4 linked regions of the Xenopus tropicalis genome follow. The protein of the gene in region 2 interacts with the protein of the main gene of each other region in a pairwise test. Links are inferred from orthologs where the notes say so. Each region holds a gene or a part of one and is shown on either strand. Other genes may lie near its edges.

What was found. The genes of interacting proteins can lie anywhere in the genome.
Region 1: the proteins of abi2 (region 2) and kiaa1217 interact in binary tests that used the Homo sapiens proteins (3 or more experiments, as listed by UniProt). The link is inferred for Xenopus tropicalis from reciprocal best matches to the Homo sapiens genes ABI2 and KIAA1217.
Region 3: the proteins of abi2 (region 2) and armc7 interact in binary tests that used the Homo sapiens proteins (3 or more experiments, as listed by UniProt). The link is inferred for Xenopus tropicalis from reciprocal best matches to the Homo sapiens genes ABI2 and ARMC7.
Region 4: the proteins of abi2 (region 2) and stam2 interact in binary tests that used the Homo sapiens proteins (3 or more experiments, as listed by UniProt). The link is inferred for Xenopus tropicalis from reciprocal best matches to the Homo sapiens genes ABI2 and STAM2.

What each region holds. Positions count from the first base shown.
Region 1 is NC_030682.2:26,191,618-26,195,778, forward strand, and holds the start of kiaa1217 (sickle tail protein homolog), read right to left. Parts: upstream 2,801-4,161; 5' UTR 2,486-2,800; coding exon 2,272-2,485; intron 1-2,271. UniProt on the Homo sapiens protein: Required for normal development of intervertebral disks.
Region 2 is NC_030685.2:54,233,985-54,237,129, forward strand, and holds the end of abi2 (abl interactor 2), read left to right. Parts: intron 1-1,881; coding exon 1,882-2,055; intron 2,056-2,236; coding exon 2,237-2,412; 3' UTR 2,413-2,645; downstream 2,646-3,145. UniProt on the Homo sapiens protein: Regulator of actin cytoskeleton dynamics underlying cell motility and adhesion. Functions as a component of the WAVE complex, which activates actin nucleating machinery Arp2/3 to drive lamellipodia formation.
Region 3 is NC_030686.2:44,366,072-44,370,360, reverse strand, and holds the start of armc7 (armadillo repeat-containing protein 7), read right to left. Parts: upstream 2,801-4,289; 5' UTR 2,729-2,800; coding exon 2,653-2,728; intron 2,649-2,652; exon of another isoform or gene 2,559-2,648; coding exon 2,394-2,558; intron 746-2,393; coding exon 393-745; 3' UTR 1-392. UniProt on the Homo sapiens protein: As a component of the minor spliceosome, involved in the splicing of U12-type introns in pre-mRNAs.
Region 4 is NC_030685.2:75,874,824-75,878,916, reverse strand, and holds the start of stam2 (signal transducing adapter molecule 2), read right to left. Parts: upstream 2,801-4,093; 5' UTR 2,581-2,800; coding exon 2,541-2,580; intron 1-2,540.

The sequences.
Region 1 (4,161 bases), on a different chromosome or scaffold from region 2:
GAAGGTGTTTATTATCTGTTCTCCTGCCTGAATATAATGGGCCATGATTTACGAGAGCATTAGGGAGGATACAGCAAGCTTTTCTCTATTCACACAAAACTATCCTGCACCCATGATAAATGTTTACAGACATAGTGTTCACTTTAAAGGGGAACAAAACCCTAAACCCCAGGCAGAATCAGGATCAGACTAGCAGGACACCAGGAAAATCTTGGGGGGGGGGGCTGCCTACCCAGGCCCAGTCCCTGCTGGAAACTGCGAGTAGACCCCCACCCCCAACCACAGATATAAGGAGAAGGTAAAATGTGCACTGGTGGGACCTTTTCTGGTTGTGTGATGACGTCGGGGTGGGGTTATTGTGTCTGCTAGACGCAATTTGGAGGGCTTCTGCCCGGTTTTCAAAATGTTGAAAACCAGGCAGGGGTTTGTTTTAATATGGCCATAAACATACCCATAATGATCTTTCCTGCAACCACAGGTCGTTCGTTCCCTCCATAGAGGTTCAGGGCTGAATCATCAGATATGGAGGTAGAAACAATAGGAATTCAATCTCCACCTGACAATTCCACCCTAAATGCAGATTTTGCTCCGGCGCCTTCAATGGCACCCGATCAAAATCTTTAGTCCCGATCGACGAGATTACCGATGTTGCAAAAGCTCATTGATCGTGCAATACTATCGGTGTGTGTATGGGCAGTTTAAGACTATTGCTGCCCAGTCTTGTGTCACAATAAAAGTGAAAAGCTAATTCAAAAGCTAAATTCAAAAAGCTAATTCAATTTCACAGAGAGCGATCTAGGGAACTGATATTTGTGCTGAATAATCGGCGGCAGCTAATTCCCACTTTACATGTTTCCAACATAGGAAATAGAATTAAAAAAACCCTCGGTACTCGTACGGGCCCTAAGGACACGCAGGAGGAATGGACCTAATTAAAAAGTGAAATGATCTAATGAAATGAGAAGAGCACTGCCTACATCCTCTGCCATGCATTGCCCCCAGCCATGAAATATACTCAGCCCCTGACCTCCCCTTACACGGGGCACTGGGACATTCCCTGTGGCTCTCTCTCTGCACACGTGACACAATCCACAAGCCTTCAATTTATTGCACAACATCAGTGTTTAAAGGAGCTCCAAGATCTGTAAAATAAAGGTAATGTTTTGCAAACACTGCAGAGGGCTGCTGTACACTTTGCTGTATATAGCAGGCTCAGTTGCCTGATATTCATTTGGTCCCTGTTCTCTGTCTTTCAGCTTGCTGGCATCCATTTGCCATTTAATAGAAATTTGAGTTGCCTTTTATCTACATGGCAACCAAATGGGTCAGTACCGCACTGAAGTCAAGTCTAAGCTAATGACAAACATATCTGATTATATGGAAAGGCAAAGGGGCAGAAATGTTTTTAGGGGTTCCAATGGGGTGACTGGTTAATGTTCTGCATGTCTTGAGCCCCTCTAGAGCAGAACTTGTAGGTAGAAAGAGATGGAATTAGGAACTAAAGCAGCAGAGAAAGATGGAAAAAACAGTAGGGCAAATAGTAAGCAACACTATATCAGTGTTACCCATCCTGTAGCCCTTCAGCTATTAAACTACTCACTGCCCCTAAACACTATAAAAAGCCTAACTTGCCCAGGGTGAAGTATATGGCAGGGGGAAGAAATATGGAGTGACAAAGCAGCCAAAATACTTAATATTGGAGAATAATCAATGCTACACAAATTTGTTTCCCATGCCTGGAACAGTGTAATCTGTGATGTGTAAATCATCCCATTGCAACATTACTTAACCTTTATTTGCACTGCCCTTAATCTGGTGCTTAATGAAACACACTGAGTGAGTAGTCGTAACCTGCAGTGCTCCCTGACCTGATTGTGTTGCTTGGAAGAAACAAGTCCCACGTGGAATTTACTGTATTTATCAGAATTTCTAGCATGGCAATATGATAACACAGCTATTGTGGGATGTCCCCATTCCCTGTCAGACACAGAGCCATCGCTTGCTGGGGTACAGTATTGAACTTTTGGCTATCTGCTTGGTACAAAGACATATTAGCAGTCACACAGGTTTCTATTGGACAAACTCCCAGCTGCCAATGTGTACAGGGAGTTACAGCTGGGAGTTGCAGTTCAGGATTTATAAATAAAGTTATACATACATACATAGGATACGACCGGTCAGTGGAGTTCAAACAGACAGCAAGAGATGGAGAATAAGGCAATATCTGCACATCAAACAGAGTGAGAGCTGCTAAAGAAGAAATGACTGTACCTTTGGTGCTGCTGCTGGAGCCGGCTTGCCTGCTGGCTATTTGGGCTGCCTGCCCTTGCTGCCTAGTCAGGTTCCCTTCGCTGCCTGCTCGCAGAATCTTCTCTCCTAAGCTGCTTTTCCTTCCTCGGTTGCTAAAATCTTCTTTCCTATTCATAGGCGGCTTAGAGGGTACATGAGACGGCAAGGGCCTGGCCAAACGTGATGGCTTGGACATTGCTGCTGCTCTGACTTACAGATCCAAATAGCAGCAGGCAGCTCTGATCCTCATCAGTTTCTCATAGTTTTTTTGCGGCAGTGGCAGAGAATTCCTGGAGTGCTGTGAGTGGGGCAGCTGCCGGAATACAAGTGCTAGGATGCAAGTTTAATCAGGTTGGAGCCGAGAGGCAGTGGGCAGTCACAGCAGCACTTTATCCGACCTGTGGAATGTAAATGGGCTTTTGGATCATTCATTTGCCTTCTCTGCAGCAGGGGAGTCTCTCAGTGGCAGCAGATGCAGTGTGTGTGTGTGTGTAGGTATGAATGTGTATGTGTAGGAATGAATGGCTATGTGTAGGTGTGAATGTACATGTGTGTCAGTGGCTGCTGCTGGCATGTTCAGGCTGGAAACTGGACATCATTAAAGCGGAACAAGAATGTGCCCACGCTCCTCCTACCCAGGTAAGCTTGCTGTACAGGGGGGCAGATGTGAGCGCCTGGGGGAAACCAGAAGCATTTGCCAGATGTGAATACTAATGCACAGGGATAGGCTCCAGGTATTTTTCCTTTGTTTTAACCCTTTAAGGTTGAATATTCTAATTCTGCATATTTAATTGTACCTCATGTAATCACAAAACAGCATAAGGATTACATCAAATTATATTAATTATTTTCTCAAACAGGTTTTATTCATTCTAGATTGGTCCATTCTTAGCACCTTTTCAATTGGTCCTGATTGTTTATTTTGCGTCATTTTGTAATTATTTGCCTTCCTCTTCTGACTGTGAGGGTCAATGACTCCCATAGACAAGAATTTATTGCTCCGTGAGGCTACATTGTTATTGCTCATTCTTTCTACTTGTAGATTGTAAGCTCTTTTGGGCAGGGGCCTCTTCACCTCTTGTATCGGTTATTGATTGCTTTATATGTTACTCTGTATGTCCAATGTATGAAACCCACTTATTGTACAGCGCTGCGGAATATGTTGGCGCTTTATAAATAAATGTTAATAATAATAAAAATAATATTTTGTCCCTCCCCATTCATATTCCAGTCTTTCTTTTAAACCATGCCTGGTTGCTAGGTTAAATTGGACCCTAGCAACCAGAAAGCTGCTGAAACTGGAGATCTGCCAAATAAAATGCAGAATCATTGAAAAAACACAAATAATAAAAAAGAAGACCAACTGCAATCTGTCTCACAATTTCACTACCATGTCTATTACTAAAAGTGAATTTAATGGTGTACCACTCCTTTAAAGATGTAAGTGGTGTATTATTGGGGTCACATGACTTAAGGACACTGGCAACTGGTCAGTTTTCCCATCAGCTTCCATATTGAAATTTCCCTCAATGTCTCCCTATGATAAATGCCAAGACAGGCAATGTTTGCATGATTCTTATCGGAATAAGAGCATGGATGTGTTTTCAAGCAAATATCACACAAAAATCACTATTTTCCATCCAATTCACAAGGGATTTTCACAATGAAATTTTTCTCCGCTTTACCCCAGTCTCTCTGGTTCTTTTGCTTAAGTCTGAGAAGAAACACTGCATTATGGGAACAAAAAGATGGTGATTTGTGCCAATGTGTGTGCCCTGTCCTCTCAATAAATTAGGTTCTCTGTGTGAAAATCCACTACTGTTCCCTTAAAAAACGACAGATTACCTACATAGACTAACATATACAGATGGC
Region 2 (3,145 bases):
GTGAAATTTGATTGGCTGTTGGTGGCTCCGCCCACTTTTCAAAACTTAAACTGCAGTCCCCTAGTGACCAAGTGTAAAAAGTTTGGGGACCCCGACGTTATTACTGTGAGACTGGCAGCAGGTTGGATTTTTGCCAAATCAATAGGTAAAATTTGATTGGCGGTTCACAGCTCCGCCCACTTTTGGGCATCCAATAATCATCCTATTTTCATTCAGGCTGAGCCCATGACTGTGTGATTCAAGTTTGGGGAGTGTAGCCTCAAAGCTGTAAGATTGGCAGCAGTTTCAATTTCCCCATTAAAGTCAATGATTAAAATTTGATTGGCTGTTGTTGGCCCCTCCCACTTTGGGGTCATCCAACAAATGTTGCTGCTTCATTCTGGGTGACCCCATGATTATGTTATTCAAGTTTGGGAGGTGTAGCTTCAAAGCTGTAAGAGTGGCAGCAGTTTGAAAATCTTCCCTGTCAAAGTCAATGGGAAAATTGGGGGGTTCGGAGCGGCGCCACAAAAAGACGGGGGGTGCAATCACTTAGAAAAGCACAAGCAACCTGCTCCGCTATAGGGCGAAGATGTGTGGGGAGTTTGGGTGCTGTACCCCTAAAACTGTAGGAGGAGTAGTGTTTAGAAAATGGGGGGCGCTAAGAAGAAGAAGCGGAAGAATAAGCTAAAGTCGAAAAACAGTATGTTGGGGTTTTCAACCCAACATAATTATTTGTTATGTAAACAGTGTAATTTAGAAATAAAAAGTACACAAAAATCACAGCAGAATCCATTTAAGAAGTTTCAACAGACCAACATTACTTCATTCCTACCCTCCACTACAATGGCTAGAGCTGGAAGAAGAAAGCTATGAAGACCAAGCTAAAATGGCAGCTGCAATCTTAAACAGAGAAAGCTTTTAGGGCTCTTTACTCAGGTATGGTAATGCTTTCTGCAGAATATATAGAGTGTTCTAGGTGGCACTAATGTGGTGGATCTATTGGCAGTAAAATGACGTTCCTTCTCCTTTTAAACAGTAATTTTTGGTTCAAGAATAAAATTTCAATTGGTAGAGTGAATTATTTGTACAGTGTAATTTAGAAATAAAAATTATGCCATAAAAATCATGACAGTATCCCTTTAATGTTACTATTCTCCTGACCTGAAATAATGCCATGTCAATCAGTGTTTTTCACAGACAACATGCAGGCAAGTTAATTCTGATGTGTAATAATTCTAATGACTGATGTGTAATGTCTATAGTGCTGTCCAGTGTCAGTACAGGTATTGGACCCCCTTATCCGGAAACCTATTATCCAGAAAGTTCTGAATTACGGGAAGGCCATCTCCCATAGACTTATTTTAATCAAATAATTCACATTTTTAAAAAATATTTCCTTTTTCTCTGTAATAATAAAACAGTACCTTGTAAGATATAATTAAGCCTTATGGGAGGAAAAACAATCCTATTGGGTTTAATTAATGTTTAAATAATTTTTTTGAAAAATAATATGGTGGGTAAAGGCGAGACTGAGAATAGTTAGCAAAGTTCTGTTTAGGCAGAGAGTAGAGTCCATATTAGGCCATTGTAATGAGGTTAGGCTGTTTCTAGATTTCTACACTAGGAAGGAGTCTGCCTTGTTACCACACCATCACCAATCGTAAGCCCTCCTGGCATATTTATTTATTTAGTAATCTAAGTAGCAGTTGGGAAGAAATAGTTCCCTCCCTTGGGGCATTTTAGGCATTAGGGATATAGGTCCTAGTTTTGTATAAAGGGGTTTAGATTGTCACCTCCATCATTGGCCCATCATGGCACATTTGGGCAGAAAAAAGATAAACATTTGGGATTGCTAGCCTATTGAATTATAAACTTGCTTTTTTTGTCACCCACCAATAGTAACAGAAACCCCACCTCCACCACCCCCTGCAGAAGAGCCTGTCTTTGACGAATCACCTCCTCCTCCTCCCCCTCCAGAAGACTATGAAGAAGAAGAAGCTGCTGTAGTAGAATACAGTGATCCATATGCTGAAGAAGACCCTCCTTGGGCTCCAAGGACTTATTTAGAGAAAGGTTTGTAAAGCAATGTTGTCGTAATAGGTAGATTATACATCGCTAAATGACATTCTGACCAATTATTAGCAACATATCCGTAAGAGCATTTCCAGATAGTGAAAAGAAGAGAAAAGTCATACATACATCCCCGACTCTCATTCACAATATACTATCTTATACTTTTTTTTTTTTTTAATAGTTGTTGCAATCTACGACTACTCAAAAGACAAAGAGGATGAGCTATCCTTTCAGGAAGGAGCCATTATATACGTCATTAAGAAGAATGATGATGGGTGGTACGAGGGTGTCATGAATGGAGTGACAGGGCTTTTTCCAGGCAACTATGTGGAATCTATCATGCACTATTCTGAATGATGGCGACACATGGCCAAATAAAACTTTCCAACTGTTGTGACTTCCCACATTTACATGGGCCCTTTGTGGGCCAAACAAGTGAATGAATGAAGAGCAAGATCTTTGTGATCAAACCACTTTTTCTTTTGTTTTATGATTACCAATTAGTGGTGCAAGTTATTTGAACAAAGTGTTCTTTCATCGCAGCAGCTCTGGTTTATTGAAAAAAAAATTTTGTTGAGAAAAAAAAAAAATCCTGGCATTGCTTACCCCTTGTTTTGTCTTTTCTACCCCCCCCCCCCCCCCCAAAAGTCCCAGTCCCAGGACTGCGGGATGTAATTACGGGTAATGTAACCCTGTTATTTCCAAGTATTTGATATGCGTTTCTTGCTGTACCGTGTATGCAGCTGAAGTAGTTATTTCCAGATCTTGAGTCTTTTATGCGATCACACTTGATGAGGAATACGAAATTGATCTTCTTTTAATAATGTGAGGAACATAAGGCAGATTTTTCAGTACAAATGTATTTCCAGCATAAGCACAATAAAGTGTAATAAGTGCATTACCCACCAAAGAGTATAGAATCTACACATCCTATCGCAGCCAGTGGTGCACTAATCATTTCTGTGTGTCGGTGGCACATAATGTTGATAAATTTCTCCCTGCTTCCCTTAAATTGTGGGGAATCTGATGTTGCTGCTGTGATTCTTTCCACACAAAATGGATTCGGACGAGTGTGGCGTGTTTAGCAATG
Region 3 (4,289 bases), on a different chromosome or scaffold from region 2:
TACCATAAGGTTCCCCCACCCCTTTCATGGACCCTGAATAACCCATGAAGCTTTGCTGGGGAGAGCTAAGAAACACAACTGTACAATCTCGCCAACCATTGGCCACTCACGAAGAGTGGATAGCAGTGTAGATAGCAGCACCGAGTGCTTTTCCTCTTTAATGATTTTAATACAGTAGAAATAAATACACGAGGGACCATGGGGTCAGTCCATAACTGAATCACGGAACAGTATCTTGCAGGGGACTGCAGTCCGGCAAGGCTTGCACTTGTCTCCCAAACTTGTTTCATGATCATGAAAGTGACCAGCACTTCAAACACAGAGTTTGTCACACTCCGAGAACAGCCATGCTGCATCTGTTTCTAGTAGGGTGCAAATGTCCGACACGGGAGTCAGATGGGGTGCTGCGTGGATTCAGGGAGCGGGATTCCCAATGCCGAATGTTGGCTCAGTTCTTTGGCTTCTTGCACTTGCTTATCGCTGCAGTAATCCTGCAGGAAGATGGTGGCCAAATTGCTGATCCTGCGGTTGGTGGAAAGGGAGAAGCGCACCATGCACTCCACCACAGCAGGAGCCGTCACTTCAGTGCGGGAGGCGGCCGTGCACAGGAACATGAGTGTGGTCAGCGCCGAAAGCACCGTCTCTTCCCGACGGCTGGACAGGCAATTGATGACCAATTTCAGCCCCCCGGAGTCTAGTATGTGACTCTTGTTAGTCTTGTCCAGGCAGAGATTACAGAGACCCCCTATTGGAAAAGAGAGAATGGTTAAAGGCAAACTAACAATTTCAAAGACATTATGACCTACAGGGGGTTTGATCACAATTGAAATTGAGGACATGTTTTTTAGGGGGGGGGGGGATCCCATAGGAAAGATGGAAAAAAACATATTGCCCAAACCTACAATATCCTTCCGTCCTGCTGGAAGTGGTTAATACAAGATAACTGGGCTTTCACTGCACCCAATGTTTATATTCGCAACACAGGATGTTTATCTGGGTATAAAAGGATCGCACAGAAGTTTGTAGTGAAAACGATAAATATACCAGAGCCGTGTTTGTCAGAGACCAATGACAGGCGAGGGGTTGGGGGGGGTGGTACACGGTGGCCATAGATGGGCTGATAAAACCTACTGATTCTGCCACCCCCCCCTCCAGTGCCAGGTTGCATATTGGGCTTTTCCCAGGGACAGACTGGGACAATGAGAAAAATCCCAGTGGGCCCCACCAACCCAGGCCTGATCCCTGCCAGCAACATCGGCCCTCCACCCTCAGTGAGGGGCCCCCAGTCTGACACTGGCTTTTTTTCAATGGTCCGTCCCACTGTCATCAAGCAGAAAATTTAAGCATCTACCCACTGCCCACCTATAGCCACTTTCACTATACTGTCCATCAACTGGAGATTGGGGCGGAGTCATTATATCAGGGGTGGGCAAACTACGGCCTGCAAGCCATGTCTGGCCCATTGGCCTTTTTAATCCGGTCCGCTGACTCCTGATTGGTCGCTGTAGGTCGCTGGGGGGGGGGGGAGGATGTTTAGGAGGATGCTGAGAAGGATGCTGGGGGGGAGCTGGTGGGAGGATGCTGGAGGGGGGCTGGTGGGAGGATGCTTGGGGGGAGCTGGTGGGAGGATGCTGGGTAGGGACGCTGGGGGGAGCTGGAGGATGCTGGTGGGAGGATGTTGAGGAAGATGCTGGTGGGAGTTGAAGAATGCTGGGGGGGAGCTGGTGGGAGGATGTTGAGGAGGATGCTGGGAAGGACACTGGGGGGAGCTGGAGGATGCTGGTGGGAGGATGTTGAGGAAGATGCTGGGGGGAGTTGAAGGATGCTGAGGGGAGCTGAAGGATGCTGGGGGGGAGCTGGTGGGAGGATGTTGAGCAGGATGCTGGGAAGGACGCTGGGGGAGCTGGAGGATGCTGGGAAGGATGCTGGAGGGGAGCTGGTGGGAGGATGCTGAGGAGGATGCTGGGATAGGATGCTGGGGGGAGCTGGAGGATGCTGGTGGGAAGATGCTGGGGGGAGCTGAGAGGCCTGTGATTTCGGGCCAGCGTTACACTCAGGGCCTCCATCAAGTCAATGTGTCCCCTGAGCTTGGAGGATGCTGGCAAGGACGCTGGGGGGAGCTGGAGGATGCTGGTGGGAGGATGTTGAGGAAGATGCTGGGGGGAGTTGAAGGATGCTGGGGGGGAGCTGGTGGGAGGATGCTGGGATAGGATGCTGGGGGGAGCTGGTGGGAGGATGCTGAGGAGGATGCTGGGGGGAGCTGGAGGATGCTGGTGGGAGGATGCTGGGGGGAGGATGCTGGTGGGAGCTGAGATTATATTGCATTATATTGTGACCCTCCTGCCACACATGGGGGCACATTGTGGGCTCAGCACTTCAGTACATTCTCTCACCCAGGCCAAACTCCACCAGGTTCTCATTGCCCTCAGTCAGCATATCCAGGAACAGGTCCAGCACCTGTAGCTTCCGCAGGTCGGAAAAGTTCCGGGGATCGTAGGCGAAGTTGGCCAGATTGGCCAGGACCTGCTCTTTGGCTTCTGAGCAATTAAGGGGAGAAACTAATGAGAAGAGGAAATGATGCGGAGAGTTGGTACAAAACTACAACCGTAACGAAACTGAATGGGGTTAAATCTCCCCCTCTCTCTCCCTTACCGACACTGTCCGTGTCCTGGAACTCAGTGACCAACGTCTGCAGGTACTGAAACCGCTCCGACTCCCCGTCACCCATCCCCGCTCTCTATCAGCCCGCAGTACCTGCGCTTCCGGGTGGGCGGAAGTGATGTCACCGTACTGGCAGAAGCCTCAAGTCGGGTGCCAGTTCTCGTCCTACTTCCGGGCGGGAAGCGTGAGGGAGGCGCAAAGCGCTGAGGCGGAACTGTAGCGTTAGGGGCAGAATTACCCGGGTAAGTGTGAGGGTGGGAACAATAGAAATAAACAAAATGTCATGCTATGAGTATACTTTTGTATTGAGATTTATATATTTATGATGTATTTTTCTCTTCAGACCCTCTCCTACTCACTCTTCAGGTTGGCAACTTGGTAGCAGGAAATTGGAAAGTGTAGAAGTGCTAAAGTGGCAAAAACCTCAGAGGATAAAAAAATGAAGACTGTGGTACTTATCTGCTGCTCACACAATTCTTACAACTATGGCCCACGGGCCGTATTGGCGCAATACCGTCTGACCCCGCCCCTCCAGACACTCGTTTCAATAGAAAACACGTGACACCCAGGCAACAAAGGCCCAGGCCCGGGGCGGAACAGATTAAGGGCTCTGGCACACGGGGAGATTAGTCACCCGCGACAAAACTCCCTGTTCGTGGGCAACTAATCTCCCCGAGTTGCCTTCCCCTGCCATCCCACTGGCGAAAATGTAAGTGGCCGGTGGGATGGCACACGCGGCAGCGCGATTTAGCGCAAATCGCTGAAAAAGCCTCGCAAGGCAACTTCGGCGATTTGCGTGAAATCGCGCCGCCGCGTGTGCCATCCCACCCGCGACTTACATGTTCGCCGGTGGGATGGCAGGGGAAGGCAACTCGGGGAGATTAGTTGCCCACGAACAGGGAGTTTTGCCGCGGGCGACTAATCTCCCCGTGTGCCAGAGCCCTTAGGGTGGCATGCTGCCCAAGCCGCACTGAAAATTGAACGTTAAATGGAAACACCAAGCTGCAGGGCCAGACTGGGGGTAAAAAGCAGCCCAAATATAAATATGCAATGGCCTTCTACTCTTTATATCGCCACACATGTATATAGGGGTAAAATGGCTATAAATCATGTGCATAAGGAATTGGGATGTTAACACGTCTCTAGTTTGGTATTTCTGCAACTATCTGGTTGCTAGGGTCATATTTAAACTAGCAACCACGTGAGATATGGTACTGAATAACAATAGCCTCTCAGAGCAATAGTTTTTTGGCTGGCTGACTGCCTGAAAGCATAGAGAGGCAGAAAAAGGCAGCAAATAATTTAAAAATAAGTAAAAAAAAAGACCAGTGGCACAGATGCTAAATATAGGGTATTTTATAACTCACTTTTATCCCCCTGGGATTCACAGTGCACACAAACAGAGTCGGACTGGCCCACCAGGATACCAGGAAAACTCCCGGTGGGCCCAGGGGTCAGTGGGCCCTCCTGCTCCTCACCATTTGGCCTATTCATGGTCATTCCCTATTTCTGAATGGGAACAAAGAGAAGAAATAGATGGAAGAATAGATGCTAGCATGTAAATAAAACAGACTAGGAGAATAAAGTGGTTTTAGTGAGGAAAGGAGGAAAATTAATTTGGAGAGTGG
Region 4 (4,093 bases), about 22 Mb from region 2:
TTTCTTACTCATGGGCCACAGTCAAATGTAAAAAGACTTAGAGCAACAGAAGCACCATAAAAGTTCATGGAGGAGCCAAATAAGGGCTGTGATTGGCTATTAGGCAGCCTCTATGCACCAGCTTACAGGGGCTTTATTTGGGAGTAAATCTTATTTTTATTCAACCAAAACTTGCCCCCAAGTCAGGAATTTAAATAACTCCCTGGTTTGGGGGCACTGAGAGCAACATCCAAGGGGTTGGGGAGAAACATGTTGCCCCTGAGCCACTGGTTGGGGATCACTGGTCTAAACGATCAAATAAAAACAGTGGGTATATCGGCTGTCGGATCAAGGAAACGCATCAACGAGCCAATGCTGTCCCAGATCTGATGGGAAAATAAAGCCTGCCCGATCTTGATCTAGTCCAGATATCGGTCAGGTAGGCCCATCGGTGATGCCCATAACTGGGCAGATAAGCTGCCAAATCAGTGTGAAGGACCCAAATCGGCAGCTGACAATTAAATGGATGGTCACAATTGTTCAGCTGGCCTTCAGTAAGCCTGTGTCTTTGTATCAGTTATGTACAGGATTTGCAACTGCATCAGTGGGGGTGGGGTAATTCTAAAGGGCCCCCAAGAGAACAAATGATGTGATCTTAAACCATAGAACAAAAAAATCCATAACCTGAGGACTCAATACAAAAATGAAAGGTACATCACATAATTGTACTATTTCTGAAATAATCAAGTTAATCTTTCTATTTCCTTTTTACATCTGACTTTATACATGCAGCTTTGTGTCCCCTCTGGAAAGGGCCCTACTGTCACCTGAATTCTGACTCCAGCTTGTGCATACAGATTGCTGAGATAGTTGCCCTTGCAGTCTTTGGTATGAGGGGTAAAAAAACATCCTTGACATGCCCTTTACCTGCAGATGCCATGATTTCCTTATCATAACCTGGTCTGTCAACAAAAAGCAGCCTAAGCCACTGCAGCATTCTGATTGGTTTGTCCTTACACTGGAATGTATTATATACAAAGCACATAGACAGCCAGTGCGCTACATATAGCCCTCACAATGACAAAAGCTGGTACAGGTATGGGACCTATTATCCAGAATGCTCGGGACCAAGGGTATTCTGGATAAGGGGTCTTTACGTAATTTGGATCTACATACCTTAAGTCTGATAAAAAAAAAAAAAACAATAAAACATTAATTAAACCCAATAGGATTATTCTGCCCGAATAAGGAGTAATTATATCTTAGTTGGGATCAAGTACAGGTACTGTTTTATTATTACAGAGAAAAGGGAATCATTTAACCATTAAATAAACCCAATAGGGCTGTTCTGCCCCTTATATCTTAGTTGGGATCAAGTAAAGGTACTGTTTTATTATTAGAGAGAAAAGGGAATCATTTAACCATTAAATAAACCCAATAGGGCTGTTCTGTCCCCAATTAGGGGTAATTATATCTTAGTTGGGATCAAGTACAGGTACTGTTTTATTATTACAGAGAAAAGGGAATCATTTAACCATGAAATAAACCCAATAGGGCTGTTCTGCCCCCAATAAGGGGTAATTATATCTTAGTTGGGATCAAGTACAGGTACTGTTTTATTATTACAGAGAAAAGGGAATCATTTAACCATTAAATAAACCCAATAGGGCTGTTCTGCCCCCAATAAGGGGTAATTATATCTTAGTTGGGATCAAGTACAGGTACTGTTTTATTATTACAGAGAAAAGGGAATCATTTAACCATTAAATAAACCCAATAGGACTGTTCTTCCCCCAATAAGGGGTAATTATATCTTAGTTGGGATAAAATACAAGGCACTGTTTTATTATTACAGAGAAAAGAAAAATGCATTTTAAGAATCTGAATTGTTTCATTAAAATGGAGTCTATGGGAGACAGGCATTCTGTAATTCGGAGATTTCTGAATAACAGATCCCATAGCTGTAATAGATGTAAATGATATACCAGCCTGGCCATCTCATCCCTTTATCTAGAGGAAACATATGAAGCAGTATGGCAGGAGCGTACTGACACTATTGGGGATGGGATAGGCTGGTTAGCTTTGGTTAGAGAGTGGCAGGATGATTAATTAAAGTACAAATGTGATTGGTTGGCATGGGTTACTGGGCAAGTACAAATGTTACTCTTCCCCTCCTGTATCGGTTATTGATTGCTTTATATGTTACTCTGTATGTCCAATGTATGAAACCCACTTATTGTACAGCGCTGCGGAATATGTTGGCGCTTTATAAATAAATGTTAATAATAATAATAATAAATGAGCCCATGTGGGATACCAGAGCTAAAGGCCATTGCTGGCTTCTGGATAATAAAGTAGGCATGACGTGACAGCTTTTCTCCCCAAGAGGTTCCTCAGCAGCCGCGGGTTTTACTACATGGACCAATAATACTGAAATCCTTTCTGTTACTGAACTATAACTCTCCAACAGCCGCAGGCATATAGGGGTCGCTGAGGGTTGTAGTTATACAGGAGCTGCATATTCCCCGTATGGATGCCCGTGTTCCAGGGATAGCACTTACCCACATCCTGATCAAAGGGATTAGAGCCGAAGAGCGGCATGCTGGGGCGATAGGAAGGCGAGAGGTCCGTGTACAGTGCTGGGGCCCCGCTGCTAGCCTGGCTCTTCCTACTCCGGCTTCCTCTCTCCCCAGTCACAACATCCAAGCACAGAGGCTTCCGGGTCTGCCCGCTCACCGCCTGACTCAAAAACAAGTGCCGCCGCGCTTGGGGAATTATTCTATATTCATACGCTGAACTCTTTTACAAAAGGAACCTTTACACGTCAGCATATAAAGGCTAAACATCTGTCTAGGTGCGAGTTCAGCGTTGCGTATTTTACAGGCAGCTGCATGGTTGCCTAAATCGTGGGTCCTTTGTAGTTTTTTAGGGTCCTCCGCGGAAGGAAGGGCAGGTAACGCCTGCGAATTGGCATAGTCATGTGACTAACGTCACCTGAAAGTCTGAGGAAAGGAATGTACCAACAGCAGTGATGTCATAGGGGATTGGGAAAGGCAGGGTCAGCTGATCAATGGAGGAACAACAGACAGATTATTAATATATAGATATATAGATATAATATATAGATATATATATATATAGATATATATATAGATATATATAGATATATAATATAGATATATAATATATATATATATATATATATATATATATTATATATCTATAGTAGGTATATAGGGCAGTCATTAGAGGGGTGCTGCATTGGGGTATTTAAGGCCAATCTATATTTCTGTTTGGTAAGGAATCACCAGCACCAGTGTTATAGGGTTGCCGCCTTTGAAATCTGTGATAGACAGACGAGAGGGCAGGGTGATATTAGGGGCAGAAATTTGAGGGTGGGGTCATGACATTTTTGGGGGAGGGGCCTGGACATTATTGCTGGTTATTGGCCGGATTATTGTTTGGGTTTCACAAGACTGTAACATTAACCGTTGTGACCCGAAAACGTACCTCCCAGTATTTTGAAAATGGAAAGAGGCACAAAATTAAATGCGGCATGGTGAATTGTTTTTGACCACGCCCATTTTTGCAACCACACCCCCTAAATACCGCTCCCATTTGACTAAATTGGCAGGTTTTATAAAGTTTGAAAACATTTCTGGGGGTTTGGGGTCTTGTTTTATGTGTTGTTACAGTTTTGTTAAAAAAAGGTGAAATTGCCCTTTAAGCTGCAAGTCTCAGTCCCCCCAAGAGACCTGTTTAGATTATTAGTTACAATTGTATCTCAGTGCAGGGGGGGCTTTTTACCTTTCTGGGCTCTCTGCCAAAAGCTACTTATTTAATTAAATGTGTGAAACAATGTTTCTAAGTGCAGGAGAAGCTTGTTAAGTTTTCTGGGCTCTGCCAAAAGCTACTTATTTAATTTAATGTGAGAAACAATGTATCTAAATGCAGCTGAAGCTTGTTAACTTTCTGGGCTCTCTGCCAAAAGCTACTTTTTAATTAAATTTGTATCTTTTTTAGCATTCAGTACAGGAGATCAAAGGGAAATGAGGGACTTTTTAGTAAGAATCCTGGACTGCGGGTTGAGCTGTCAGAAGAGGGACTGTTCCAC